Arabidopsis thaliana: one gene and its partners. The protein of the gene in region 2 interacts with the protein of the main gene of each other region in a biochemical or structural test. Each region holds a gene or a part of one and is shown on either strand. Other genes may lie near its edges.

The links.
Region 1: the proteins of AT3G11630 (region 2) and NTRC form a complex in vitro, tested with the Arabidopsis thaliana proteins (2 studies listed by BioGRID).
Region 3: the proteins of AT3G11630 (region 2) and TRXF1 form a complex in vitro, tested with the Arabidopsis thaliana proteins (one study listed by BioGRID).
Region 4: the proteins of AT3G11630 (region 2) and CP12-1 form a complex in vitro, tested with the Arabidopsis thaliana proteins (one study listed by BioGRID).

The regions. Positions count from the first base shown.
Region 1 is NC_003071.7:17,374,540-17,383,107, forward strand, and holds NTRC (NADPH-dependent thioredoxin reductase C), read right to left. Parts: upstream 4,521-8,568; 5' UTR 4,490-4,520; coding exon 4,252-4,489; intron 4,160-4,251; coding exon 3,952-4,159; intron 3,863-3,951; coding exon 3,757-3,862; intron 3,657-3,756; coding exon 3,391-3,656; intron 3,027-3,390; coding exon 2,747-3,026; intron 2,642-2,746; coding exon 2,534-2,641; intron 2,458-2,533; coding exon 2,371-2,457; intron 2,282-2,370; coding exon 2,177-2,281; intron 2,081-2,176; coding exon 1,950-2,080; intron 1,871-1,949; coding exon 1,810-1,870; 3' UTR 1,639-1,809; downstream 1-1,638. Other genes in the region: AT2G41670 (P-loop containing nucleoside triphosphate hydrolases superfamily protein), read left to right, coding at 54-131, 266-407, 584-654, 761-857, 1,060-1,277, 1,360-1,638; HSFB3 (heat shock transcription factor B3), read left to right, coding at 7,184-7,480, 7,601-8,038. UniProt on the Arabidopsis thaliana protein: Thioredoxin reductase (TR) that exhibits both TR and thioredoxin (Trx) activities. Contains a C-terminal functional Trx domain.
Region 2 is NC_003074.8:3,668,020-3,675,766, reverse strand, and holds AT3G11630 (Thioredoxin superfamily protein), read right to left. Parts: upstream 3,732-7,747; 5' UTR 3,579-3,731; coding exon 3,372-3,578; intron 2,989-3,371; coding exon 2,914-2,988; intron 2,753-2,913; coding exon 2,671-2,752; intron 2,576-2,670; coding exon 2,496-2,575; intron 2,372-2,495; coding exon 2,246-2,371; intron 2,152-2,245; coding exon 2,038-2,151; intron 1,947-2,037; coding exon 1,830-1,946; 3' UTR 1,608-1,829; downstream 1-1,607. Other genes in the region: AT3G11640 (uncharacterized protein), read right to left, coding at 706-1,266; AT3G11620 (alpha/beta-Hydrolases superfamily protein), read left to right, coding at 4,033-4,103, 4,193-4,266, 4,348-4,419, 4,543-4,571, 4,682-4,732, 4,839-4,889, 5,019-5,078, 5,176-5,258 and 4 more. UniProt on the Arabidopsis thaliana protein: Thiol-specific peroxidase that catalyzes the reduction of hydrogen peroxide and organic hydroperoxides to water and alcohols, respectively. Plays a role in cell protection against oxidative stress by detoxifying peroxides.
Region 3 is NC_003074.8:586,572-593,471, forward strand, and holds TRXF1 (thioredoxin F-type 1), read right to left. Parts: upstream 3,123-6,900; 5' UTR 3,021-3,122; coding exon 2,728-3,020; intron 2,418-2,727; coding exon 2,318-2,417; intron 2,143-2,317; coding exon 1,999-2,142; 3' UTR 1,695-1,998; downstream 1-1,694. Other genes in the region: DJ1D (Class I glutamine amidotransferase-like superfamily protein), read left to right, coding at 1-47, 232-672, 852-1,214, 1,329-1,517; AT3G02740 (Eukaryotic aspartyl protease family protein), read left to right, coding at 3,990-4,237, 4,470-4,596, 4,687-4,928, 5,027-5,251, 5,343-5,505, 5,598-5,671, 5,881-5,968, 6,038-6,113 and 2 more.
Region 4 is NC_003071.7:19,443,632-19,449,934, reverse strand, and holds CP12-1 (CP12 domain-containing protein 1), read right to left. Parts: upstream 3,206-6,303; 5' UTR 3,047-3,205; coding exon 2,672-3,046; 3' UTR 2,293-2,671; downstream 1-2,292. Other genes in the region: AT2G47410 (WD40 domain-containing protein), read right to left, coding at 106-263, 474-802; AT2G47390 (Prolyl oligopeptidase family protein), read left to right, coding at 3,682-3,988, 4,091-5,072, 5,167-5,295, 5,412-5,711, 5,815-6,273. UniProt on the Arabidopsis thaliana protein: Acts as a linker essential in the assembly of a core complex of PRK/GAPDH. Coordinates the reversible inactivation of chloroplast enzymes GAPDH and PRK during darkness in photosynthetic tissues.

The DNA of each region.
Region 1 (8,568 bases), on a different chromosome or scaffold from region 2:
CCTCTTGTTAGTCTCTGTGAGGTTGAGTTTCTGAATTTTTATGCAATTTATAGAAATGGACTCGTCATTTCGAATCCAGCAAGCAAGATTGTATTGCCATTAATGCTCATAGCAGAAGCTCTGTCATGAAGGTTAGATGATCCTCTTTACATTTAGGTTGGTGTGTTAAAACCAGTTATAGTTTCTTCACACATATAATTTGATGAGGATTTTCTACTACTGCGCATTGAAAAGTTACCTTCTTTGCATAATTTTTCGTATGTAGCTGCTTGATCTCGTGGAGTTGAAGCTCAAAGAAGTGATTGCTAGGGAGCCTACTTTACTTGTAATGGTGGTTGGTGTCCCCAATGTTGGAAAATCTGCGCTCATTAACTCGATCCATCAAATTGCAGCAGCTCGTTTTCCGGGTAAGATATTGGTGTCTCAGCTTATCAGCAGTGTTGAGTACACATTTCACAGATATAGTCCGGACTGTGAATCCGATTTCTCCAAACTTAAACTTACAAGTTAATTATTTCATGAACAGAATGATGAATGAAATGTAACGTGGCTTATTTCGTTATTGTATGCATTATGTGCATAGTGCAGGAGAGATTAAAGAGAGCTACGGTTGGTCCATTGCCTGGTGTAACACAAGATATTGCTGGTTTCAAGGTAATCTTTATTTGAAAATCCTCTTTTTTCCGTATGCCTGTTAATTGTTTGTGGATTTGCTTCAGCATGATTTTTGAACACATGATGAAAATGTTCTGTGGTACAGATTGCTCATCGACCTAGTATATATGTTCTAGACTCCCCTGGTGTGTTGGTTCCAAGTATCCCTGATATCGAAACCGGTTTGAAGCTTGCTCTTTCAGGTTCTTATCTATATCTTTATCTCCTTTCTCTTCTTTCTTCTTGGTGCTAGATCGTGTAAACCCGTACACTAGATTTAGTTCATCAAATGATGATACAGTTTAGGTCTTATAATCTCAGTTCTTAGTTTTTCTCTAATATAGGGCCGTATTTCTTACAGCATATGATCTCTCTAGCTAATTGTTATGCGTTTGACATTCTAAGGGTCCGTTAAAGATTCAGTAGTGGGTGAAGAGCGGATTGCACAATACTTTCTAGCTATTCTAAACATTCGAGGGACTCCTCTTCATTGGAAGTACTTAGTTGAGGGAATAAACGAAGGGCCTCATGCAGACTGCATCGATAAGCCAAGCTATAACTTAAAGGATCTTCGACACCAGAGAACCAAACAACCAGATTCATCTGCTCTGCACTATGTCGGGGTTAGCATAATAACCTTATATCTCTACCTTGCTTTCCTTCTGAAATTGTCCTGACCAATGAAAGGTTCCCTGTCATCTACAGGATATGATTTCAGAAGTGCAACGATCACTGTATATAACACTCTCAGAATTTGATGGGGACACGGAGGATGAGAATGATTTAGAATGTTTGATAGAGCAACAGTTTGAAGTTCTACAAAAGGCATTGAAGATTCCTCACAAAGCATCCGAAGCAAGGTTAATGGTCTCCAAGAAATTTCTTACTTTGTTTAGGACAGGTAGACTTGGTCCCTTTATCCTTGACGATGTCCCTGAAACTGAAACTGACCACCCCAATTCAAAACGGGTAGTTGTTTTGTAAAATCTTAAAGCAAATTGTACCACATTATGCGTGCAGCTTAAGATGATGATTCTATTTGTTTACATTTGAGATTCAATGGCGTTGCTCCAGTAACTCCAAAGTATTTGAATGAACAAAATTGAATCATGATAAGATTTGGCATCTGCCAGAAACAATATCTATCTGGTGTCCTCATTTATTGGCCTCAATGAATTCTCGGTACTCTTTCTTCATCTTCACACCCGATATAGTCCTACACAGACTCGGAATCTTTAGCCAAACCTGAACACAATAATCTATGCAATTTTAAAACTGAGAGAACGTTTCCTAACCTGAGCATTTCCTTGTTCTTGAAGAACTGCACACATGGGGTTCCCATAATTCCAGCTGCTTCAGCAATTTCTTGATCTTCCTCGATGTCAATCTCAACAAAATGCACATCATGGTTATACTCATCGACCACCTGAAACAAAATGAAGGAGAAGTGAACAAATGGTCAAGTAAATCAGTCCAAAAAGATCTCTTCCGATGAGTTTCATTTCGACTAATAAAGGAATACCTTGTTCAAAATAGGCTTCAGAGTCCTACAGGGGCCACATGTTGGTGAAGTGTATAGTACCAATATAACTCTTGGACTCTCATGGTATAGTTTTCTAAGAGCATACTGAAAGCAGGGGAAAAAACATAAGGAGAAAGATGTGAGGCAGAGAAAATGCTTGTAGGTAACAAGTTAAGGTTCATATGTTAACAAACCTGTCCCTTGTGCTTTGTAAGAGTGATGTCAAACTTTTCTTGGACATCCCGTTGTGTGAATTCTTTCTTGGCCTCTTCAGTTTGAGGCTGTAACGTGAACATGAAAGAGAGTAAGCCTTGTGACGTGTGCTTAAGAGATAAGATATTTCTGAATATTTCCTACCTGGTGAAATTCAACAAGAAGATTGTTACTTGTGAGGTATCTCTCGGCTGACAAAGCAGCTATGCATCCTGATCCAGCAGCAGTTACAGCTTGTCTCCATTCGTGGTCCTAGAGTGACAAATAGGAGAATATAGCAAACACAATTATCGAACCAATATGACTTAAAAGAGTTAATACCAACACCGAAAAATTGCTAAAAGTTCCGAAGAATACCTGCACATCTCCTGCAGCAAATACACCTTCAACTGATGTATTTGATGTTCCTTCCCGAACCAAGACGTACCCGGAGCTGTCGAGTTCGACTTGGCCTTCCAATAACTGACTGTTTGGCGAATGCCCTATTCCATAAAACAATCCTTTTGCCTCCAGCTCAGTTTCTTCACCCGTATCAAGTCTTCTGAGTAGAATGCCAGACATCTGTCCCTTGGTGTTGCTCAATACGTCCACGGTTTCCGTGTTGTAATGCACTGTGATGTTTGGATTGTTGATCACTCTGAAACATTCGCCATAACCAACCTGTTAAAAAAACACTCAGGGTGTTGAAAAGACTCAACTTACGTTGTGCTCATTAGTCTATAATTCCGATAGCCAGCAAAAAAAAAAAGCACTCTACTGGTTGGTTATAAATTTACATGCAACGGAAATCATAACCAAAGGCTTTCCCAGATATATCCAATGGATTTGCGAGGGAACAGGGGATAGCAGTCAATACATGCAACAAAGAACGCTCAACATAGCTATGACAAAACACATTTCCTAGTTTGGACATAGCATTTATCTAGTTTTAACTGTTTATCTTCAGAAATCAAAGAAGAGGAGTAGAATATAAGGCAGACGTGATGAATATAAGAACTCACCTATCTTGCATAGCCTTGGAAGCTCTCAACTGATCTCTGCGAACAAGCAAATGAACATGACGGGCATATTTCGTGAGATACAAGGCTTCCTCTGTAGCCGTATCTCCTCCTCCAACCACGGCAAGTACTTGCCCCTTAAATAAAGGCGAAGCTCCATCACAGATAGCACAAGCACTTATCCCCCTACTCCAGAATTCTTCCTCTCGAGGTAACCTTAACCTCCTTGCTGTAGCGCCAGTGGCATATATAATACTATGGCACTTGACCTATAAAAAATGGAAACATCAGAAGAGAGCTGAAGCCAAAAAAAAAAAACTATTTAGAATTTGAAAAAGAAATAGTGAGAAAACAAAGAAAGATAATCACCTTACGTTCACTAGTTTGCACAGTAAAAGGAGCAGTTGTGACACTAAGAGATTCAACATCTTCTGGATACAACTCTGCTCCCCACCTCTCTGCTTGCTTTCTCATTCTACAATTTTCACACAATAAATAATTGCATCAGAAACATATAAGAAACGCCACAAACTAACAAAAGAATCAGACTATGTTATAGCTCACTTCTCCATTAAATCGGGACCCGTGATACCGTCTGGGAATCCCGGAAAATTCTCAACTTCAGTAGTTGTCATCAACTGTCCACCGGGAACTCCGCCCATCTGATACCCTTCAAAAACCACCGGCTTCAAATTGGCGCGCGCTGCATATATCGCCGCCGTATAACCGGCGGGACCGGAGCCTATAATCACTACATTCTCGATAATCTCGCCTGCAATTAATTATTAAAAAACCAACACAGAGCTCGATTACTTACACTGCCAAAAACCTTAAGAAAGAAGCAAAGAGGAACTCCTCAAGTACCTCCTGAAGAAGAAGAAGACGGAGAATTGGCGGTGGCGGAGACTCTGAGGCGGAGGGAATCAGAAGAGCGAGTTCGGGTTGGTTGACGGAGGAGATAGGAGCCGCCGTGACGTGTGGTAGTAGTAGTAGTGAGAAAGAAGAGATGAGGAGGAGGAGAAAGAGCGGATGAGGCGGCGGAGACACGGTGAGGCGATGAGACGGAGGCAATACCGATGCCTATCTTGGGAGACGCAGCCATATTTTTTTTGATTGCCTTACCTTTACCAGAGACCATACAATTGTCTCTTTGGCTTTGCAGTTAAAAAAAAACATCCCGATTTTCTGTTGGCGACTGTGCCTCACGCGCCTCAGCATTATCTCTTTGCTTCCAAGTCCACAGGCTTAGATGATTTTCAGCCGTTGGATATATGTGATGAAGCGACTGAACGGTGGAGATGTGTTTTGACTGATTTTACTTCGTCTTTTCAACGGAGGGATAAGCCAATCGCTTTTTTTTTAAGTGGGAAAGATCGCCAAGAGTTTAAGTGGACGGACGACGCTTTTTATATTGGGCCATAAATGGGCCTGTTTTGGTACTGAATATTTAGTCACGACGAAGATTCTTAAACCCACCGGAAAATGGGCTAATCTGTGTGCGGATTGCTTCGCCAAAAAGTTAGTACTAATAATTTATAAAGCATAACTAGCTAAATGCGAAGACTATATAGTTTACTTAGTTCTGAAGAGGTTGAAGTGGAAATGAAATGAACTAGGAGTTGGTGAGGGAAGGTGACAGACTATTTTTTCTTAAGTCAAAAAGTTAAGCTGACCAAAAAAGAGCAGCCCAATGAAAGCAAGGATCTTTATCTTTAGTCTAGTGTCTGAATTCCATGCACTTCCAATGTTTTAGTCAACAAAATGTACTTACATTTGATGACTTGATGTTGTATAGATTCGTTAGGAAGCCACATCACTAAACGTTAAGCATAACTTTATGGTTAAAAAAAAACCCCCCCACCGTGTTCTTACTTGTCATCCAAATTCGATCTGCCATTTGAAGTTTCCTAAGCTGTTCTTGATGACTATTCTTAAATTCGATGTTTATATCTTACCATCTAAATTAAGCCTTACAAGAGCTACATATCCAAGTAGTATATGCTGGAGTAGTTTTGTGATCCCTTAATCTTATTGTTCAACAAATAATTTCAACAGGACATATATATGGATCACTACTGTTAAAACGATATAGTAGAGCTTAAGCGTTAGGATTTGTATTATTAGTTGTCTCTCTCTTTTACAGACGCGTGGAAGGTACGCGCCGTCATAGGAACATTGTCGGTAATCCCCTTCAAACACCAGTAGTCAGTAGATCGATGACTTGAATTACATCACTGTCCCCTACTTTGACCAATAGAGATCTAAAGGTTTCCTTTCTTGCATTATTGTGCTAAAACCGACATTTACTTAAGTTACTTGATTATGTCTTGGAAAAAAAAAAAGATTTTAACTTTGGGAACTTTTATTCAACTGAAATTTTAAAGAATTATTTAATTTGGAATTCCTTCTATAAATTTACTGGCTTTTACCGTTATACGTTACCATAAACTTATATATATGATCAAATTCGACCGTGATGAATGATCACTTTTTTAACTTTCCATTCAGATCAACTGAACCCCCTTACTTTTTCTATATATACTCTTTTAAGCACTTGTTTATATATTATCAACAAATTAAGGTGTCGAAAGTAACATACAATTAGACAAAGCATGTATAGTCAAAAAGATAGATAGTCATCAATTTTGAAAAACGAGCAATTTACATGATCCTACAAAACAACAAAACTAACTATATGAAATATCAAGTTTATAATCATTTTTAAAAATACCATTACAAAAGATTTGTACTTTGAATATAATTTAACATGAAATTTAGAAAACGATCTGTTTAAGAATATAACTTCTGCTATGTGGTATTTTAACTGGTACTTTATAGAGAAAAAAAGATTGGTAATTAATGTGATATTTTTGCAATCCATATTATATATTCGAGAGATTTTACTAATGATAGTACTTGATTAATCATTAGAGAAAACTAAATCTTACAAATATAGGTAGACATGATGAATAATATGCATGATTTGCGTTTCGTAAATTGATAGTACCACCTCACCTAAAGGGGGTCCAAACGAGTTGCTTCATATCACAATATCCAATTTTACCAACATACATTAATATATGTGTATTCACATATATACCTCGTGATTAATATTTTTTTTAAAATCATTTTTCGTTTGTTTCCTATACGTCTAATCAAACACACACGTTACAACTAAAATTATATTGACAATATAGCTCGGTTGGTAAAAGCAACGACTACTGCAGTTTCCCTGAAAAACTTAAGACCAGTACTAAATATCAACTATACAAATTAAGTTGATATCAGTTTTTTTGGGGGTAAAGTAATCCAATATCATTCTAAAATTAAAAGCAAAATGTCGTTAGTTATACATGTTAGAGACGAGCGTTGTGTTTGAGAAAAAAAAGAGTTATGTCGTATAGTGGATTCGACGTAAATATTATCGATGGTTGGTTTCAAACCTGAAAAATTACATGTCATATTGTCATCAAACATCGATTTTCATTTGATATAAGAAAAATATATTTACAAACACAATCGTGTGTGTGTGTATGCATCATGATTATATGCATGTTAGTGTTAGAGTTACATATTCTATAGAATATGTAAATAGTTAGAAGCGTACGTTCCTTGAAAATTGTTCAAAGTATTTCTATTATTGTTTTCTTTTGTTAAAGTATTTCTATTATTGTCTCAACCACCTAATTAAATTAAATAACGTCTCTATCTCTTTCTATGGAGTCGTGTTACGTCTTTCTAGTTTGAGATCTTCTACTACTTGTTTTCTTCAAGAATAATAATTTTCGTTTTATATATGGAAGATGCTGGTGAACATTTACGGTGTAACGATAACGTTAACGACGAGGAGCGTTTGCCATTGGAGTTTATGATCGGAAACTCAACATCCACGGCGGAGCTACAGCCGCCTCCACCGTTCTTGGTAAAGACATACAAAGTGGTGGAGGATCCGACGACGGACGGGGTTATATCTTGGAACGAATACGGAACTGGTTTCGTCGTGTGGCAGCCGGCAGAATTCGCTAGAGATCTGTTACCAACACTTTTCAAGCATTGCAACTTCTCTAGCTTCGTTCGCCAGCTCAATACTTACGTACGTATATATGCTTCACTGTTTCAATCAGTATTTTAAACTATTTGTGTTTCTTTGAGTTTACTAAGTGTATTTGCTTAATTAAAGGCATTAATGAGTGTTGTTACAAAAATATTATAGGGTTTTCGAAAAGTAACGACGATAAGATGGGAATTTAGTAATGAGATGTTTCGAAAGGGGCAAAGAGAGCTTATGAGCAATATCCGAAGAAGGAAGAGCCAACATTGGTCACACAACAAGTCTAATCACCAGGTTGTACCAACAACAACGATGGTGAATCAAGAAGGTCATCAACGGATTGGGATTGATCATCACCATGAGGATCAACAGTCTTCCGCCACTTCATCCTCTTTCGTATACACTGCATTACTCGACGAAAACAAATGCTTGAAGAATGAAAACGAGTTATTAAGCTGCGAACTTGGGAAAACCAAGAAGAAATGCAAGCAGCTTATGGAGTTGGTGGAGAGATACAGAGGAGAAGACGAAGATGCAACTGATGAAAGTGATGATGAAGAAGATGAAGGGCTTAAGTTGTTCGGAGTAAAACTTGAATGAAACTAGATTGCTAGATTGATATTCGTAATATACCAGTTTCTTCATATTCTTAGAAGTTTTGCATAACTATATATAGTACTCTTTTAAGACATGCAAGATCAGAACATATGTCCGAGAAATATCGGATTCTTTGCTGTATTGGTTAAGTCTCGTGTTCATAACATGGTACATCGTGTGTATATATATAGCCATTAACTAAGAGAACGTTTTCTCATGTATTTGCGAAATTTAAAACTATTTTGGGTAGATGAGATGAGTTACATCTCACTTTGGGCTGTGGTCAGGATGATTTTGGTTATGTAAGCCGCGTTAATAATGGTATCACTAGCTGCAAAATGGTTGAATTTTGGTAAATCTCAACTCTCAACTTTCAACTCTCAAAGCAGGCCTAGAACTAGAAGTAAAAGATTGGCATTCTCTTATTTCGAATTTAGGCCAGAACATACGGCACATTAGGGTTTTTTCCAGATTTTTAGTTGATGGAAGATAAAATATGAGGCATCATGTATATAGACATTAAGACCACAGGT
Region 2 (7,747 bases):
TCTTGTGGTTTATATCTGGTTGCTCATCCTGAGATATTACCAAAACTTAAAACTTACAACTCTAGCTAAAAACATTATCTGTCTTTCACTTTTGGTAAACTTTTTTTTTCTCAATTCTTTAAAAATAGGTCTTCTTTTTTTTTTACTTGCCATGAGGCCTGACTCATGTCCTTTAATTCTCTGTCGAGTCAATTTTTATATGTGCAGTCAATTCAGTATTGTAGTATGATGCTGTCTTCTTGGAAATTTTTCTTGAAAGGTGCATTTTTTTTTTTGGTCTCTAAGACCAACTATGTATCTCATAAAATTACAAGACCCAAAAATACCTAAACATTTAGTAATTTAATCACACTTGAAACTAAACGGAAATCAAAGTCAAGGGAACCAAAATAATTTGGTTCATTTAGTTTAGGTAACAACAAAATAAAACATAACCAAACAAAAGTTTCAATGAACCATTCCATACTTCATAGCGTCGTCATCTCCACGACTTTAACACATTACGTCCTATTCTAATGTACGTAGAACCAAACATATATACGCGTTGAACCAAGTTGTGTTGATGAATATTCAAATTGCCGGGGAAAAAATGACGACAAAGTTATATAAACCAAAAACAAGAACAAATAATTCCGACAAAACCTGTAAATAATTACGAAAATGTTCCACCTAATCTGTTAAACCATTGGAATTATGCAAAAAATGTTAACACATCTGAGAGCCTTGGAAATTGAAACAACAGTTTCTGCTGCTGACTTCATATACATCAATGACGTCATCCATATCCCGACCAGGAGATGGCGAAGGAGTAAAGTAAGGAGGTGAGTTGCACGGCGTCAAGAACGGAGTTGGATCGCCGGAATACTCCACCGGAATATCAACTTGGACTTCGAAGCCATTATCTACCTCCGCAGAGATCACATCATCATCATCATCTTCCAGTTCCAAATCCTCTTCTTCAATTGTGAAGAGAAGCCTCGACACCCGCCACTTGTCCGCCGCCGCGAATTCCTCCTCAGGCACCGCCGCAGCAACAACATCCTCCTCCATCTGTACAGAAACAATACCGGTGCATGGCTCAATACGAGAGTGGTGGTGATTCTTCTTGCAACACATCAAGAATTGGAAAAGAACCTCTTTACTTGCCGGAGACGGTAAAGATCCGGTGCGGCAACAAAAGATGTAAGAGAGCTCGGCGAAAAGGATGAGCAGAAAGAAGAGTAACACGGCGAGAAGTACGGCGCCGGAGTTGGTGAGGGCATGCATCGTTTGAGAGAGAGTGTGAAAAAATAATGACCGGGACGTAGTGTAGTTAAAGCAGGAGAGTTGACCGGCGTTTACCGGTCATCAGTTGACGGAGGAGGTTGGGTTGATGATGATTAATGATGTTGGAATTTGTTGGCAGGGGGACACATGAGCAACTTTTTTACAGGTAGCATCAGCTTTTTAAGGATCATAATTATCATATAGATGCATTAAAGAAAGAGAAATGATAGTTTTATAATTTCTGTCCTTTGGTTTTTTTACAGGTCCTTTAATATGACTAGCGTATATGGTAGAACAATGGCTTCTCTGTGCTATCAAAGAAGATCACAAAATGGTCTTGATTTTTACCATTAATATGTACAGTGTACATGCTTAGGTAAGTGATCAACTGAATATGAATTTGTAGGCGTAACACAATAAGACTTCCATTAACGGAAAAAGTTTTTTATTATAATTTTGGGGACAAAGTGAGAATCAAACAAAGGATTGTTTTAGCGTACAAGAAAAAAAACTCTGCTCACATATAACAAAGATTGTACCTTTTTGCTATCATAGTAGAGTTTCTAAATAGCTGAGAAGTACTCTTTGCTGAGTTTTGGGTCGGGTTTCATTGACTTCTCACCCGGCTTCCATCCTGCTGGGCAGACTTCATCCGGGTTTTCCTGGATGTACTGTAATGCCTGCAACATTGAAAACGTATTAAGCATACCGGAAATCGAGTGAAAGGAAAGAGCGGTTTTTGGAGTTGTGTGTATTTATTTGTATCTTTACCTGGAGGGTTCTCATTGTCTCATCAACGCTTCGGCCAATACCAAGATTGTTGATGGTGGAATGTTGGATCACTCCTTCCTTGTCGATTATGAAAAGTCCTCTCAGTGCTATTCCCTGTTCTTACACAAACAAAGTTCTTGTTTTCATTTATCCCAAACACTTCGAAAGTTTAAAGGAAGGTAGCCAAGATTTAAAGGCTAACAATTACCTGATCATGGATGAGCACTCCGAACGACTTTGAGATTGATTTAGTGACATCTGAAATAAGGGGATAGTTCAGATCACCAAGCCCTCCAGATTTCCTGTCTGTTTGGACCCATGCAAGGTGAGAGAACTACGAGGACACACAGAAATAAGAATGAATCAAAAATTTGCAAACAGATAAGAACATGGTGATGTCAACCAAGGATGAGGAACTGAGTAAAATGAGAACATAGTAAATGTATAGTGATACTTACCACACTATCGACAGAAACACCTAATACTTCGGTGTTCAACTTCTCAAATTCTGAATGCCGGTCACTGAAGGCAGTAATCTCTAAAAGACATAAGGAAAAAATGAGAAAGATTAGGACTCAAGGATGAGGGAACCTTGGATATTCAATTTTGATATACTTCTCGAGCAATGCTAACCTGTTGGGCAGACGAAAGTAAAGTCCAATGGGTAGAAAAAGAGAATCACATACTTCTTTCCAATGTAATCAGAGAGCTTAACCTGAAACCATACATTCATCAGTTACCAATTAGTTTCCAATCACAATAAGACATATACTCACTAAATAAAAAACACTAAAGACTACTCATTCAGCTTCAAAACTAAACTTAATCTCAGATTAACTAGAAGCAGCAACTGTGATTGATAACTGCTGTAAGTACCTTGATGAACTCTTGATCAAACACAGCCTCTGCCTCAAAATCAGGCGCCTTGTTTCCAACCAGTGGAAGATCATCCTATAATCACCAAATTAAAACTCGTTAACACATCAAATCTAAGGAGAAAGATCAGTCAAATTGACAATCAGATAACCATGGTACTATACCAAAACTACATAGACCTCATCCGAACATACTAATCAGTCAATGAGTATAGCTCATATGTCACTCAATTTCACTTCACCAGAGAAATTAACAACCCTAAACGAAAATGTCACTCAAATTTCTGAACTTTTCGAGTAATCTGCAGAAACACGGTCGCATAACCTATAAATCGTTAACTATTTCCCCAAAACCTATAGGGCTAACAAGTAGGAAGAGAGTGAAATCTATAACAGGCTAATGAATTCAGATTTCAATGACATCGAATAAGAAAAGTATCGACATTTAGATAAACTTACGGCCTGGGCTTTGACAGCAAAGCTCCGACGAGAAGTGGAGCTGAGGGAAGAGCGTCGAGCAAATCCGGAGCGGAGAGAAGCAGATGCGGAAGGAGAAGAAAGGGTTCGAAGGAAAGAAACAGATGGAGAGGAAAGTGAAGACTTTGCTGGAAAAACCCTAGAAGAGGGAGAAGAGATGAGAGTAGTTGAAGAAGCAACAGACGCCATTGCTGCTACACACACTTTGTGACTCTCTGAGTCTGAGCTACCAAACACTCTTATCTATCTGTCAATCACCTCTCTTTGTAGTGGAAGTATGAGGTGGAGATAAGCCTGACGACACCCAAACTCATAAAACGACGTCGCGTTACTCAAAACGAGGTCGTATTACTATTGCTGCAAATATGCGTCTTCTTCTTCTACCTTGGGTAACTCCGTCTCTCCGTTACTTTCTTCCTCCGATCGGTGGTTCAGTTCTCCAAAGTATCTAATCTACTCCTGTTGTTTCAGGTGCATTGTTGTGCTCTCTTCACTTGGTTTACTTTAAAAGGCTTCTTCACTTATTTTGCAAAGTTTTGATTTTTAGTGGTTTCTCTGTTGTCTCATTAATTCTCTCGATCTTCTCCTTTCAAGTGTTGACAGTTCTGAGAGAAGATATAAGTTGAATCGCGTGACCGGAGACATGGAGACTCAAAACAAATTGATGAATGAAACTAAAAGACATGTTAAATCCAGATTGTGCAGAGTTTCTGGGTATTGTTACATTAATCTTTTACGAAATTTTCTAATTTCTTTGACTATAGTTACACTTTTTGTTTTGTTTTTTGTATTTGTGATCAAAGTTCGATGACGGAGATGATGGAAATTCAAGCTGAGAATCCCACATTCCATGTATTGTTTATTCCGGGAAATCCAGGTTTCATTATTATGCTCAAGACTCTTATGCATGCACGTGTATATACTAGTGTGCTTCATACATTGGCTTGTAATTTTTCAGGAGTTGTGTCATTTTACAAGGACTTTTTGGAATCTTTATACGAGTTTCTTGGTGGAAATGCTTCTGTAATTGGTATGGCTGCTCTACTTTTCGAGTTTGATTTCTTTGAGTCCTTAAGATGGAAGCTGTTTATTTCTGAGTTTGAGTTTGTTCTTCTGATCTCTAATGGTGGAGTGGTTTGTTTTATTTGTGTAGCTATTGGGCAAATATCTCACACGAGCAAGGTACGTTAACTTTGGTTTCAGGTTTTACTGTGTGTAAACTTTGATGGTTCTCTTCATATAATATCTTAGTTTGATAGGCTTTCATGATACTTGATTATTTTCACTTTTAGGACTGGGAGTCTGGGAGGCTATTTTCATTTCAAGAACAAATTGATCATAAGGTAATAAAAATCATTTTTCTTCATTGCTCTTGGATTTGAAAGCCTTTAGGTTCTTGTATTGTTCATCCTGTGAAGTTAAGATCTTAATCTGTTAGTTATCATACAGATTGATTTTATCAGACAGGAGTTGGAGAGTGTGAAAGTTCCAATAATATTGGTAAGACTGTCATGTGTATAAGCCATTGACATATTGCTTCTTATGACCAAAATATATATGTCCATTAGTTGGATGGATTTCCAGATTTTCATGAAAATTTACAACTCTAAGCTTAATTGATCTTGGTAGGTTGGGCATTCTATTGGGTCTTATATATCCCTTGAGTTATTGAAGAAATTCTCGGACAAGGTATAGATGGCTTCCTCTAAGAGTAGTACTTTCTCCATCACAATTTCTTTCAGTGCTATGTGATTTTTCTTATATTATTCTCTGGAATGCTTTGCAGGTGGTATATTGCATTGGCCTATATCCATTTTTGACTTTGAACCAACAATCAACAAAGCAATCATTAATTGGCAAACTTGCAGCGTGAGCTTTTGTTCTCAATACGAATCCTCGATAGGAAAGAACCAATCAGTCTTTATTTAGAATGTTGTGAAATCGTTATCATGTTGTGCAGGTCTTCTGTTCTGTCGGCTACAGCAAGTTTTCTGATTGCATCGCTGAGACTTTTACCTATGTCAGCTGCACGGCTGCTTGTATCTAAATCCATTGGAGCTTCATGGTCTGATACTGCTGTTCAAGCTACCTGCACTCACTTGAGGCAGGTATTGATTATCTCATATTCACTGATTTTCTTGGGTTTTACACTTGAACCTAGTTGTATAAAGACTTGAAGATGGCCATTACATCTTCTTTTCTTGATACTTTAAGTTCTTATTCCCTACTAACTATTCAGACGACTTAACTTCATCTGATGCTTGCAGTATCACACCATGCGCAATGTTCTCTTCATGGCAAAGTCAGAGTTTAGAGAGGTACTCTTCTTTCAACAATGTGTTGTATAGAGTTTAGAGTCTCATTTTGAATTCAAAGTATGCAAAGTGTTTACTTGAAAGCTCTACAACATGACCAAGCTTGCCCTATAGTTGATCTCCAACTAAAGCATTCTAGGTGACGATCCACTGTTTCATTTTTGGCATATAAGCTTGCAGCAGAGCCAGATTGGGATTTCATGAGAGAAAACCAGAGCAAGCTTGCATTTTTATTTGGCATTGATGATCATTGGGGTCCACTGCAACTCTTTGAAGAGGTTACTTGGTTTCCCTTCTTCTCGCTTAATCAAAATGCATTATCCTAACGATAGAAGGAAGGTCTCTCATAGAATCTCTCCATTGTCCAGATTTCAAAGCAAGCTCCGCATACTTCCTTATCTATCGAGAGGGAAGGTCACACGCACGGATTCTGCTGCACGGTGGCTGGCTCGGCATGGGTTGCGCAGCACGTAGCCACTCTAATCAAGAACCGGTTTTCACAGCTCCAGTAAAGTACATTCCCCTGTCTCTTCCTTCCAACAAAATAAGTGTCAACCATCAAAATGTTTGTTTTAAACAGATTAGTTTAATAGTAATTGTCAGAGAGATGGTTTATGTAAAAAATGTTTGGTTATCTAGTTACAAAGAAATTTTAGGAGAGTGCAAGTTGGTCAATCGCAAATCATCTTGCAACCACAAAAGTTGTATGAATTCGTATATAAAATCCAATAAATCGCGATTAGTAAGATTTTAATTCTTGGTCCCATTTACGTAAACTATAAACCGAAATTTCTAGATTTTTCCCGGGAAGAAAAAGAACTATATAATGGATAGTGACTCTTAATAAACAGAAAATGAGGCTTTGAAGAATGAGATTTTTGCTTAAATATGAAGGTTGCAACAGAAAGGTGACATTTAGTGAATGATAAAGAAGATAATAATAAAGAAAAGAAGAAGATATAACTCAACAAGAAAGGTAAATTGTAGTACCATTTTCTTTGTTTATTTTTGACAAAAATAAATAAATTATTGAAGGTGGAATTAAATTCGTATTTATCATTTTACGTAACGCTCATAATTCTCAACTGCCTCAATTACTATTGCATTTATATTTGATTTAAATGAAAACATTACTTTTAAATAGTATATTGAAACCTATCTGAACTACCTCCTCTTCAATTTTAACCAACTTTCACCCCTAGCAATAGCATTCTCAAAAAAAAAAAATAGATTTTCTGAATTTATCATTTATATTTTTCAGTGTTCTTTTTTTCTTTGCCACACAAACAACTCCAATTTTTTTACTGTCATTGACTAATAATGCAATTTTCAGGAAACAAAAATATTGTTAGTGATCAGGAACTAGTTTTTGGTATTATTTGTGAAGGGTAAATCATCATTGCGCAACAAAATAGAAAAATCTATAAATTTGGTTCCCCAAGGACAATAACCAAAAAAAAACATTCAAACAGGGGTTTAGGTCTGAGTTATGATGGGGAGTCAAATATTGGTACCCAAACCATTTGAGTAATCAACTGCAAACTCAAAGACTTCTATTTAGTAGGACCACAGAGACTAAAAATTTAATCTGGATCCTAGTCCAAAATTATTCCTTTGCTCCTGGGACAACCAAAACACTTTACAACATTTCTTGCTAGATATTAAGATTATTTGATTATCACCTCTTGGCGTTTATCTCTAACCATTTGTAACTTAACCTAACTTTTCGTTTACTTTTTTCACTTTTAATACACTATAAGCCTTTGTGATTGCTTAGGAAATGAAAACAAAGTAATCAAGAAACAGAGGAAGTTGCTCTATCACATCTCCAAGGAACAAAGGTTGAGAAAAAAAAAAGTGCCAATTTTTATTACTCTTCTACAATTCTCTTACGAGTCTTACATAATCCGAAAAACTCTTAGATATGTTCGAGAAACCGAGGATGAGAAACATCTCCACTTGCATGAGGAGTCACTGATTAAGATTTTCTAGTGAAAGAAACTTGTTTGGGGTAAGATGGTTACCGGAAAATTCACCGGAAAG
Region 3 (6,900 bases), 3.1 Mb from region 2:
CTGGTGACTCTTGCCCCACCGCCGTTCACGATTTTTGTGGCCACCAGGTTTCTCTCTCCCTCTCTAGATCTCCATGTGTAGCTGCTTGATCTATTGATATACGATCCATTGTAACTATATTTAGAAATGGTTCATTCCAATTGAGCTTCGAATTGGATGATAGAATGTATTGTAGACAAGTTTCTTTAAGCTGTGCACACTTTTCTGATGTATTTCTGAGAGAATTTGCAGACATATTTTGAGTCACGAGGTCACAATTTCACGCTCAATGCAACGTTTGATGAAGTTGACCTTAGCAAGTATGATGGATTGGTTATACCAGGAGGACGTGCTCCAGAATACCTGGCCTTGACTGCATCTGTTGTTGAGCTGGTTAAAGAGTTCTCAAGATCTGGCAAGCCCATTGCCTCTATTTGCCATGGGCAGTTGATATTGGCAGCTGCAGACACAGTCAATGGTCGAAAATGTACAGCTTATGCAACTGTTGGACCTTCCCTTGTTGCTGCAGGTGCCAAGTGGGTCGAACCGATAACTCCGGATGTCTGTGTTGTTGATGGTAGTTTGATTACTGCAGCTACATATGAGGGTCATCCTGAATTTATCCAGCTTTTTGTCAAGGCTCTTGGCGGTAAAATAACTGGAGCAAATAAAAGGATCTTGTTTCTTTGTGGGGTAAGCAATCTTACCATTCTGATGAATTTATGTTTTCAGTAGTTTTGCCTATGATCTTGCTTTAGATTGTACTTCAAATATCATGACCTCACACTTTTAAATTTATTGGTAGAAGATATCAAGATCGTTGAATCTCCTGATATGAACATCACACTTTTGGTAATTTTTGACCTTTGCAGGATTATATGGAAGACTATGAAGTCAAAGTGCCTTTCCAGTCCCTTCAAGCTTTGGGATGTCAAGTTGATGCGGTTTGTCCAGAGAAGAAGGCTGGTGATCGCTGCCCAACTGCAATCCATGACTTTGAGGGTGACCAAACTTACAGTGAGAAACCAGGCCACACTTTTGCTTTAACTACTAACTTTGATGACCTAGTTTCCTCGAGTTATGATGCTCTGGTCATTCCTGGAGGCAGAGCACCAGAATATCTGGCCTTGAACGAACATGTCCTTAACATAGTTAAAGAGTTCATGAATTCTGAGAAACCAGTTGCGTCTATTTGCCACGGACAACAGATCTTAGCTGCTGCTGGTGTCCTCAAGGTCAGCACTGTTCCTTCGTAGCTCTAATTTTATTTAACTATGTCCTCCTTTTTCTTGCCACTACAAGTTGTTTGAGGAATTTATTCTATGTGACCTGTTCACTGGCTGGTGCAGGGAAGGAAATGCACTGCTTATCCAGCCGTGAAACTGAACGTGGTACTTGGAGGAGGAACTTGGCTAGAACCAGATCCAATCGACAGGTGCTTCACTGACGGGAATCTAGTAACTGGCGCAGCATGGCCTGGACACCCGGAGTTTGTTTCACAACTAATGGCTTTGTTGGGCATTCAGGTTTCATTCTAAGTTCCATGTTATGTAAACATCGTTATCAAGCAGAACCCATCCAACACACTTGTCTACTATGGTATATGTTACTGCCATCTTTTCTATCTCGTCTTTTGACTAGCTTACTGTCAAGTCAATCACTTGTGTTTCATAAAGAACCCCACTGTTGATGCTTTATGTAAAGAATGAATTCTATAAGACTTGTGCTAGTTCTCACAATTGTAATTCATAACTTTCAAACTATATCCCCAATTAAAAATACAAACTTGCTAGTGCACATTGCACCGAATCTTCCAAACTCAGTTCCGAATTGCTTAGAAATCCTTCAGACCGAATCAACTGGAAACCTAAAGATAATCATTTTCATGATCATATTTCTTGAAACTTTTACACATACAAGATAATCTTTTGCTGACGTTTCCTCATCACCTATATATAGGGATAACACCAGATTTCACATTACATACAAACAATTATGGTAAAGACATGAGAGACTGGTTCATCCGGAAGCAGCAGACCTCGCTGTTTCAATCGCTGCAACCAGATCATCGTATTTTGCACCGGTCACTTCCTTGACAACCTTGTTATCCTTCAAAATCTTGAAAGTTGGAACCACTCTTATTCCTAGCTCTTTTGCCAATGGCTGCACCAATGAAGAGTTTCAATGGCTTAGCAGCAACAACAAAGACAGGTAGTAGTAGCAACAACAAAAACAGGTATTGATTATCCTTAGCTGCTACTAGCTATGGTTCAATTGATATATGGTTTAGGAAAACCGAGTTACCAAAAGAAGAGAGATAAAAGAGCAGAACTCAGACCCGGTTATCTGGATTGCAGTCAAGCTTTAGAAACACAACGTCGTCGTACTTCTCTGATAAAGCTTTGTATTTAGGGGCAATCACTTTACATGGACCACACCTGCATAAGGTATCCAAGAATAGAACATCTTGAATTGAAACTCTCTTTAAAGACTACCAACATCAAAACCAAAACATTCACTATGGAATCTAAATGAACCACATCTGCAGAAGAATCTAACTGAGAAGATTTTTCAATCTTAGTTGAAAGCCACGGAAACTTTGATTAGTATCAAAATTCAAATCAATTGGTAATCTAAGCATTCGACATCGCAACGCCATTGATTTCATCGATTCCGCTATATACAATCAGAGATGTCGAATGGTAAAAATTTCAAAGCAGAGAGAGGCATAGAAGAGATAGTAGGTACCATTGAGTGTACATGTCAAGTACGACAAGCTTTTCACCGGCGGCTTTAACGATGGGCCAGAACGTGTCCTTATCGACCTCCGTCACCTGACCAACACTGACATTAACGGTTTCTAAGCTACACCTAACAACAGAGGAATCTCCTCTTTTCCTAGAATCCAAAGAACAGAAACCAATCTTCGTCGTCGGGACGCCGGAGTAAGGAATCCGGCACTGTTTCCTCGATGGACCAAATCCTCCGGTAGTCGGAGATAAAGCCGTCGGCGAAGGAGAAAGACGGAGAGAAAGAGGCATTGTTTGAGGAATTCAACAGAGAGACGATGACGAAGACGATGAAGCAAAATTTCGAAAAGTTGAATGATCAGAGAGAGAGTGTGTGTGAGGTCTCAACGGACTGAGCAAATATTTATTTTATGTTAATTGGATTTTAAAGAGAAAAAGACGGTATTATCCTCGAATTGCTTCGGATGAACAAGGATATTCGGGGGTACTTACTGTAATTATTTGTTTTCGTGATAGATGGAACGGGAGGTGTAGAATTCTTGAGGAATTAAGATTGATATTTATGTTTCTTACTGCGAAATTACGGTTCGGTCCCTCAAAATGATGAGACAAACATGAATTCTTTTATTTTCCATAAATTTAACTATTTTAGACTAAAATACAAAATACCAACAACATGCATGATAGTTCAGTGATTACTAGTTTTGTATCTAAGGAAAACTCTCATATTTGTGATCAAAAACAGTTTTGAATCCTACAATTTATGACAACTGATGATTTTATCATTACTCATTATCATCTAGAGTCGATTTTTGTTTGTTTGTTAAAATCTACATTAGACGGTAAAAAAATGTTAAAAATGAGCCTAATAATGTGACAATGCATATTCATGTGAAAAAATGAATTATACAAGTGAAAATAATTTACAGCTGCCAAAAGTGTATTCTAGCAGTTATTTCAGTTTTCTTTTTAAATAATTATTACAATCTTGAAATTTAATTAGTTTTTTTTTTTGTAGTCATGGAATCTTATTATATAGTACATAATTTTCTAGCCAGTCTTAAATTAATTTCAAAATGTTGTTTAGTTAATGATTAAAATACTTTTTTATTTGGAAAGTACCAATTTTTCTTCTTCTTCTTCTTTGTCCTAAATCGTACTCCACCGCCAAACTATACTTTTCTTTCTTTTGCTTTTTTTCTTCTCTTCATTTTTTTCGTTTGGATTTCTCAACTAACTTAGTTAGGGATATCTCCGGTCATGGATCTCAGGCGGAGACAGTGGTTCTTGTCGGCTATTTTGCTGTCGGCGGCGTTGCTGATTGACCCGCAATTCTCGACGGCGGCGACGGCTTCGGAGAATTTGGTATTTGAAGTTCGAAGCAAGTTCGCCGGAAAAAGAGTAAAAGATCTTGGAGCTCTCAGAGCTCACGACGTCCACCGTCACTCAAGACTCCTCTCCGCCATCGATATTCCTCTCGGCGGCGATAGCCAGCCTGAGTCTATTGGGTTCGAATCGCCATTTACCAGAACCTGTAATTTTGGGAATTTTTTAACAAAAAGTCGGATTTTTTTTGTCTTTTTTAAATGTGGAATCTGAAGAAAAAACAAAGCTTTTGAATCTATTGAGATTCTCAACTCTTTGATTGGTTCTTGACTCATTATGAAATGGTCTTCTTCTTGTGTCTTCTACGGTAAAATGTTGATTCTTGTTCTTTATGTTTGTTGTTTTTAATTTCAGTTTATACTTCGCTAAAATCGGACTCGGAACTCCATCAAGAGACTTCCATGTTCAAGTTGATACAGGAAGTGATATCTTATGGGTGAATTGTGCTGGTTGCATCAGATGTCCTAGGAAAAGTGATCTGGTATATACCATCAATTCTATCCCTCCAAAAAAAAAAACAGAACTCTAAGTTACATTATGTTTTCAGTTTCATAGTTTCATTATCTTTCAGGTAGAGCTGACACCTTATGATGTGGATGCTTCGTCCACTGCAAAATCTGTTTCGTGCAGTGACAACTTTTGCTCTTACGTTAACCAAAGATCTGAGTGTCACTCAGGTTCTACTTGTCAGTATGTTATTATGTATGGCGATGGGAGTTCAACTAATGGATACTTGGTGAAAGATGTTGTTCATTTGGATTTAGTTACTGGAAATCGTCAAACCGGTTCCACCAACGGAACTATTATCTTCGGGTTAGTTTAAGGAAAAACAGCTTTATTCTTCTATGAATTTTGTAGCTTGTTGTGGCTTGCAAATCTCTGAATCACTGTTATTTGTGGTTCTTATACAGATGTGGGTCTAAACAGTCTGGTCAGCTCGGAGAGTCACAAGCTGCGGTTGATGGGATAATGGGATTTGGACAATCAAATTCATCGTTTATATCGCAGCTAGCTTCACAAGGAAAGGTCAAAAGGTCTTTTGCGCATTGTTTGGATAACAACAATGGAGGTGGTATATTCGCCATTGGAGAAGTCGTGTCGCCGAAAGTAAAGACTACACCTATGCTCTCTAAATCGTAAGTGAATGCCTTTCTCTTAAAGCTCTTCTTCTTTGGTTCTTTGTCAAGAAGTTTTGAATTTCTTACACTGTTTGCAACTCTTTCACAGAGCTCACTATAGTGTCAACCTCAATGCAATTGAAGTTGGTAATTCAGTTTTAGAACTTTCTTCGAATGCTTTTGATTCGGGAGATGACAAAGGAGTTATTATTGATAGTGGTACAACTCTGGTGTATCTTCCTGATGCTGTTTATAACCCGTTACTGAATGAGGTCAGTACTATATTCTGTTACTTGTGAATTCTTTCTGTCTTATTTTACAAAGTTCTTAACACTTATGTTTTTTTCCCTTGAGTTTCCATCAGATATTGGCTTCACATCCAGAGCTTACTTTGCATACAGTTCAAGAGTCGTTTACTTGTTTCCATTATACAGACAAGTAAGAATTTAACTCATCGCTTTGTCATTCTTGGTGTTTAGTGAGAATGTTTGAAATGGTACTGTTATTTGCTGGAAATGTACTAGTTTTTGCTTTTGGAATTGAAATGGAGTTGGATTTAGCTGAATCTGATGGAATGACTGATTTTATACACCTAGTATATAATGTTTGATGTTTTGACCCTCTGAAATTTTCTGTCAAATTCACAGATTAGATCGGTTCCCAACTGTCACTTTTCAGTTTGACAAGTCTGTTTCATTGGCGGTTTATCCTCGGGAATATCTATTCCAAGTTCGAGTAAGTCTTGTTCCTGTTTCTAACTTCGTGTTCTTGTTTTCTTGTTCTGACATAAAAAACTGACTATAGGAAGACACATGGTGTTTTGGCTGGCAAAATGGTGGATTGCAGACTAAAGGAGGAGCTTCATTAACAATTCTTGGAGGTACATATATCTCTTTTAAAAATGACTTTCATCCTGAAATTGCTGAAAAAATTTGAGTGTTGATTTGTTTCGCTGCGCAGACATGGCCCTCTCTAACAAGTTAGTTGTCTACGATATCGAAAACCAAGTCATTGGATGGACCAATCACAACTGTAAGCATTACAAATCCTATCTTTGTCTTTATTGCCACAAATTCTATGAGATTTGATGTATTAGGTGTGTTTTGACTGTAATGAAATACTGAATCACACAGGCTCAGGAGGAATACAAGTCAAGGATGAAGAAAGTGGAGCAATCTATACTGTTGGTGCTCACAACCTCTCATGGTCGTCTTCTTTAGCTATTACAAAACTTCTTACACTTGTTTCTCTCTTAATTCCTTTCTTCTGTAACGTTGCTTTATAGTTTCAGATAAAAACCCTCTTGGGACAAAGTTTATTCCTTCTGTTGTTTATCATTAAAGGAACTGATTCCCATTTCTTGAAAAACAATTGCCACTTTCATGATCGAGAGAAAGGGATTGACACAAATTCTGTAACTGGAATTGGAGCTTTTTGAAAAGACAGAAACAGGAAATTGTCCCAACAGACTGACAAAATTAAGCCTGAGGGGATTCACAGAATTACAGACACAAGCCATTATTACATGATGTGATGTTTTTTCACTCTTCTTTACTGACAAGACCAAAAAACAACATAAACATTAACAAGAGAGAAAGACATAAACCAAAGACAAAACTGACAAAAATTTAGGTTCCAAAACCAATGAATTATGACTCAAAAAAGAA
Region 4 (6,303 bases), on a different chromosome or scaffold from region 2:
ATTGCATGCAAAAGTTAAAGAAAAAACATATCCTGATTGCCAAACATCAATTCATGGAAAAGCTTTTGAAATTCAGGTACGACAAAGTAGATGAATAAGAATTACTACGATCCACAAGTGAAAAGGTGCCAGATCCCAATAGTGTTGGAACATCAGCAGCATTAGGAGCATTTCCTTCAACTCTCATGTGTGAAGGGAAAGACGGGTTTAAAATTAGTTGTTTGAGAAGCTTCACCAAGTGATCCTTTTCGATATGAGGATACCTGTAAGTAAACGAAACATGATGACAGAACTTATGAAAAGAAAAAAAACTTGGGCACAATTACGGAGGTGGGAACACTCACATAAAGTAATGACATAACAAGACACATGTTGAGAGACAAGTAACAGCACATTTCAATAAGCTATGGCAAGGCTTCCATAGTAACTCAACAATGGAAGAGTGGAGTAGGAAAAAAAAAAAGAAACAGTACCTCTCTATCAAATTATCATAACTCAAGGGGAGGGAGATGCCATCATCATCAGCACGCCCGCTATAAATGCCACTTCTTGACCACCAGGAATGATATCTACGGGGTAAAAGCCCTTTTTCCAAAATTTCGTCTCTCAAGTGGCCAAAGGTTCGTTCGCAGGGGCCAATAGAAAGAAAATGTAAAATCAGGAAATAGACTTCTCTAAGGTCCATATCTAGATCAGTTAGCGAAGAATGGCTGTCATGTGGCTGAAGAGGAACATTTCCTTGAACCAGTTTTGCCAAATTCGAAGGTTCCATAAAAGGAGTAGATTTGTGTATCCAGTCCATGATAAGGAAGAGAAGCACTCGTCAAAAAAATGCCACTGCCAAAGTGAAAGACAGTCTCATCAATTAAAGCATGCACTATACTGACTCAGTTTTAGATAAATATACACAGATGACATATATAACACCAAGACCTTTCATATGAAATAGAATCGTCCACATACTTAATAGTAAACTAGGGTTCTCTTTTAAAAATTGGAATCTGATGTAACTTTATCTGTTCTTCCTACTACACAGGAAGGATCATCCAATCATTCCCCTAATTAAGCGACTGAAAGAAATCTACAAAACATCTCAAGGAATTGGATCGTAAAAAAGCATTGAGACACAATCTTAAATGCGATTTCAAAGAGTTATTCCCAAATCAAAAAACCCTAAGATCCAATTACATAGAAAAACACACATCACACATGAAAAATGAAAATCAAGTAAAACTGGCAAATTCGGGAGCTAGAAAAGACAAGGGAATCAAGAGAAAACCTCGAAGAAGCTAGGGTTTAGTTAGGTCAACAAAAATACAGCTTGCTACTCAGCAGTTGAGATGGGTGGCTAGAGAAAGGAATCTCGAGTAGACGATTTTTCAAGGACGAAACCAGAGAGACGGAGCAGCGAATTCGAATGGTTCTTAGGTCACAGAAACGAGAGAAGAAGAGTAGCAACAACGTTACATTCTGCGAATTGTGTGCGCGTCTCCTGGTCCTGGTTAGACATCGGCCAGGTCGAGCGAACAAGGAAGAACGAAACAACAAGACCACTGACTCTTCTTTTTCTTTTTTTCTTACCGCTGTGAGATTTTTCTGGAAAATCTGGAAAATACAAATTTGAGAATAGGAAACAACAATACGTAAGAGTTTTAATAAGCAAAAAAAAAAATCTTATGTGTGAGAAGACAGATACACCCCTTACTTGTTGTTGCATTTTCTTAAACCGCGTGAGAATTATAGGGGTATAATTGACTCTTTAGCGGCTGGGCCGACAAATAGATCGGCTTAATTTTTGTTGTTTTCTTACAAATTCATATATAACCTTTTTACCTTCAGATTTTAACTGGTGATACCGTGCCGATGCATTTTTCTTGTTAAAATCTACTTTTCTGAACCGCCAAAAATATATATAAGTGAACGAATTCAAATTTGCAAAATAACACAGAAGAGCATCAAACAAGCACACTCGTATCATTTACTTTAGATTAATCAATTTAATGCTAGAAGATAAACGATTTTGAATTCATTCACTTAACTTCACAAATTTTGTTATCAAACAATAAAATTGTATACATTTCAGGTGTTTTTTTTTTTGTCAAATTATTTAGTTCACTTATTCCTTAATATATTTACTGTTTCTCATCACCTTGAGGCTGGCCACAAACTGGTTCTATTCTATATGTCAAATTTGTACATCGGCCCATGCTTGATAAAGCCCATTACACTGCATCAACATAATTACATGGGCTTGTTTGTTGTTACCCATCTTGTTGAAACCAAAGATTAATTCCCATACCAGCAAGGCAGCAATTTTAAAACCGTCTAAGAAACTCTCGATCAATTCATCTTTCTCTCGGCTCAACGTCGTTTTGACACATACATCTCCACATCCACAAAAAAATAATAAGGAACGTATGCGAGTGACCTAAGATCATCTCAGCCTCATCTAAACTTAATTGAGTTTTTTATTATCAATTTCACGAAACTGCAAATGTAATCGAACCAAACACATTATGAAACATATGTTGTGTATTGTACTATTCATATTCATTTATCACATTACAATCATCAACCAAACCAAAAACACAAACATAACAACAAGGGACAAGAAGAACAAACATTGATCCATACCTAAAGTTTCATAATTCGAACATCAAAAACATATTTTTTAATTATCATAAGTACGACACTCATCAGTCTCAGGATTATCATTGCAATACTCTTCCAAAGGATCGGAGCCACCAGCTTTCTTCTTGTCCCTAGCATGACTCGCCGCCGCACTCAGCTCCTCCACCTCGTCCCAAGCCGCTACACACTCCCCGCTCACCGGATCATCAGCGCATGTCTCCTTAGCTTCTTGTATACTCTTCTCCACCTTCTCCGATATCTCTCCTTCCGATGTAGCCTTAACCACAACCATCCGCTTCATCGAACCGAATTTCCACGGGTAATTCAACCGGACCGGACCTAATACACGAGCCACAGGTCGAACGACCACTCGTGGAGTCGCGACGTTGAGGCCAGCTGCAGCTATGGTTGTCATCGTCGGAGGATTTTGATGGAGGAGAAAAGTTTTTTGATGTGAAGAGATGAAGAAGATAAAATATACTCGTTCACGTTATTAAACTCTGTGAACACAATCCTCTTATCTTCTAAGAACCAAGCATATTTTGCCACGTGTACTTAGATTTTTTCACAAAAAGTAGTATTCTACCAATTTGAGAAACATAAGTTTTTCCCCGGAATATTTATTTTATCAGCCGTTGAACATTTTTTCTTGAAAATTATAGAAGCTTTTTTTTTAATTTTTGACTGAAATAATAAAAATTTGTTATCATTTTCTCTTCTGTAATTTTCATAGACATAAACTTCTCATGAAAAGTAGCATAATAAATTAATAATTACTATATTTTTGAGTATTTCATTTTGTTGAGAAAAAGGGGGAGGACGACTGACTTATAATGGGCCATATTCCAGGAAATAAGCGCTAGTTGGGCCATAGATAAGGCCCACATAAGCAGTGACCACTACCGATATTTTTCCTGATATTTTTTGTTTTCCTGGTTAAAAATACATACAGATACAGTCGTCGTTTTGATTAGTGAACCGTCGAATAGAAAAAGAGAGAATCATTCAGAGCACTTTAAAAAGGTTAAAAAAGTCAAGTATTAAAAAAAGATGATGCGCTTTCATAAAGCTTGTCATCGTTTCTCTCTTTCACCTCTCTGCCATTTATCTCCGCCGTCTCCGTCACCGGCTTCTTCTCTCCTTCTACTTCCCAAGCTTTCCGGATTCTCGACTCTGAGTACACGACGTTGCGTAAGAGTTCGCCGATTCTCCGAAAACCCGTTGACCACTGTCATGGCTTCACGTTCTGCTTCTAGGCTTCGTTCTCTCGCATCTGCCTGTTCTGGAGGTGCTGAAGACGGTGGTGGAACCTCTAATGGCTCCCTATCAGCCTCTGCTACTGCAACTGAAGATGATGGTAACTTGGATTTGAATATTTTTGTGTATAGAGTTACTTGTCACTGGAATTGAAATCTGAGAAATCGTTTTTGATTGTTTGTTTGTGTGTTGAACTATGTAGAATTGGCTATAGGCACTGGATATCGTCTGCCTCCACCTGAGATCAGAGATATTGTAGATGCTCCACCAGTCCCGGCTTTATCATTTTCACCACATAGGGATAAGATATTGTTTCTCAAGCGGAGAGCATTGCCTCCGCTCGCAGATTTAGCTAGACCAGAGGAGAAGCTTGCTGGTGTTCGAATTGATGGATACTGCAATACCAGAAGCAGAATGTCATTCTATACTGGTTTAGGAATCCATCAGTTATTGCCTGATGGTACATTGAGTCCTGAGAAGGAGATCACTGGCATTCCAGATGGTGGTAAGATTAACTTTGTTACATGGTCCAATGACGGTAAGCATCTGGCTTTCAGCATCCGGGTCGATGAGAACGGAAATAGTAGTAAGCCAGTGGTATGGGTAGCTGATGTTGAGACTGGAGTAGCTAGACCATTGTTTAACTCGCAAGATATTTTTCTGAATGCGATTTTTGAGAGTTTTGTTTGGATTGATAATTCCACTTTGTTGGTGAGCACAATCCCTTCATCTCGTGGAGAACCACCAAAGAAACCTTTGGTGCCATCTGGTCCCAAAACTCTGTCAAACGAGACGAAGACTGTTGTCCAAGTTAGAACATTCCAAGATTTGCTTAAGGATGAGTATGATGCTGATTTATTTGACTACTACGCTTCATCACAACTAGTATTGGCTTCTTTGGATGGTACTGTGAAGGAAGTAGGGGTTCCTGCAGTGTATACATCGTTAGACCCTTCGACAGACCATAAGTACTTGTTGGTGTCATCACTTCACAGGCCATATTCCTTCATTGTACCTTGTGGTAGATTTCCAAAGAAGGTGGAAGTCTGGACAACTGATGGTAGATTTGTAAGACAGCTATGTGACTTGCCCTTGGCTGAAGATATCCCCATTGCCTCCAATAGTGTGCGGAAAGGAATGCGTTCAATAAACTGGCGAGCAGACAAGCCTTCAACCCTCTACTGGTATATATTTGAGATTCAAAGTGAATCACATGTAGTACACGTGCCAAAATGGGATTTGGAAGTAATTAATTTACAACTCTTCTGAGATATGTAGGGCAGAAACACAAGATGGAGGTGATGCCAAAATGGAAGTTTCACCGCGTGATATAGTTTATATGCAGTCTGCTGAACCATTGGCAGGAGAAGAACCAGAAGTGTTACACAAGCTCGATCTTCGTTATGGGTAACAACTAAAAACACAGCAGATATTGTAGATTACTTATGCCATCTTATCAACAAACTGACTAACTTCATCAAAGCCTTCTATGTCCTAACATTGATCCGATTTCAATTCTGCAGAGGGATTTCTTGGTGTGATGATACATTAGCTCTGGTTTATGAATCATGGTATAAAACACGACGAACAAGGACGTGGGTTATCTCTCCTGGATCTAACGATGTCAGTCCACGCATCTTGTTTGATAGATCATCGGAAGATGTGTACTCAGACCCTGGCTCAACCATGCTGAGAAGGACCGATGCTGGAACGTATGTAATAGCAAAGATAAAGAAGGAAAATGATGAAGGCACTTATGTATTACTGAACGGAAGTGGGGCTACACCACAAGGGAATGTGCCCTTCCTTGACTTGTTTGACATGTAAGCCCAACCTGACAATGATTTCTCTTTCTTTTGCTTCTCTTTTTGTTTTTATTGCCATTAAGCGATAACAAACTGAATGTTCTGTACAAAATTTATCTAGAAATACAGGCAACAAAGAACGAATCTGGGAGAGCGACAAGGAAAAGTATTTCGAGACAGTTGTTGCCTTGATGTCTGACCAAAAAGAAGGGGATTTAAAAATGGAGGAGCTGAAAATTCTGACATCAAAGGAGTCTAAAACAGAAAACACCCAATATTCTCTCCAACTTTGGCCTGATAGGAAAGTGCAACAGATTACAAACTTTCCTCATCCGTATCCGCAATTGGCTTCGTTACAGAAAGAGATGATCAGGTATCAACGGAAAGACGGGGTTCAACTTACTGCAACACTATACCTACCACCAGGCTATGATCCATCAAAAGACGGTCCTCTTCCTTGTCTGTTTTGGTCTTATCCTGGTGAATTCAAGAGTAAAGATGCTGCTGGTCAAGTCCGTGGCTCGCCAAATGAATTTGCAGGCATTGGATCAACTTCTGCCCTTCTTTGGCTTGCTAGAAGGTTTAGCATTGATACTGTTTTTTGCTGTTT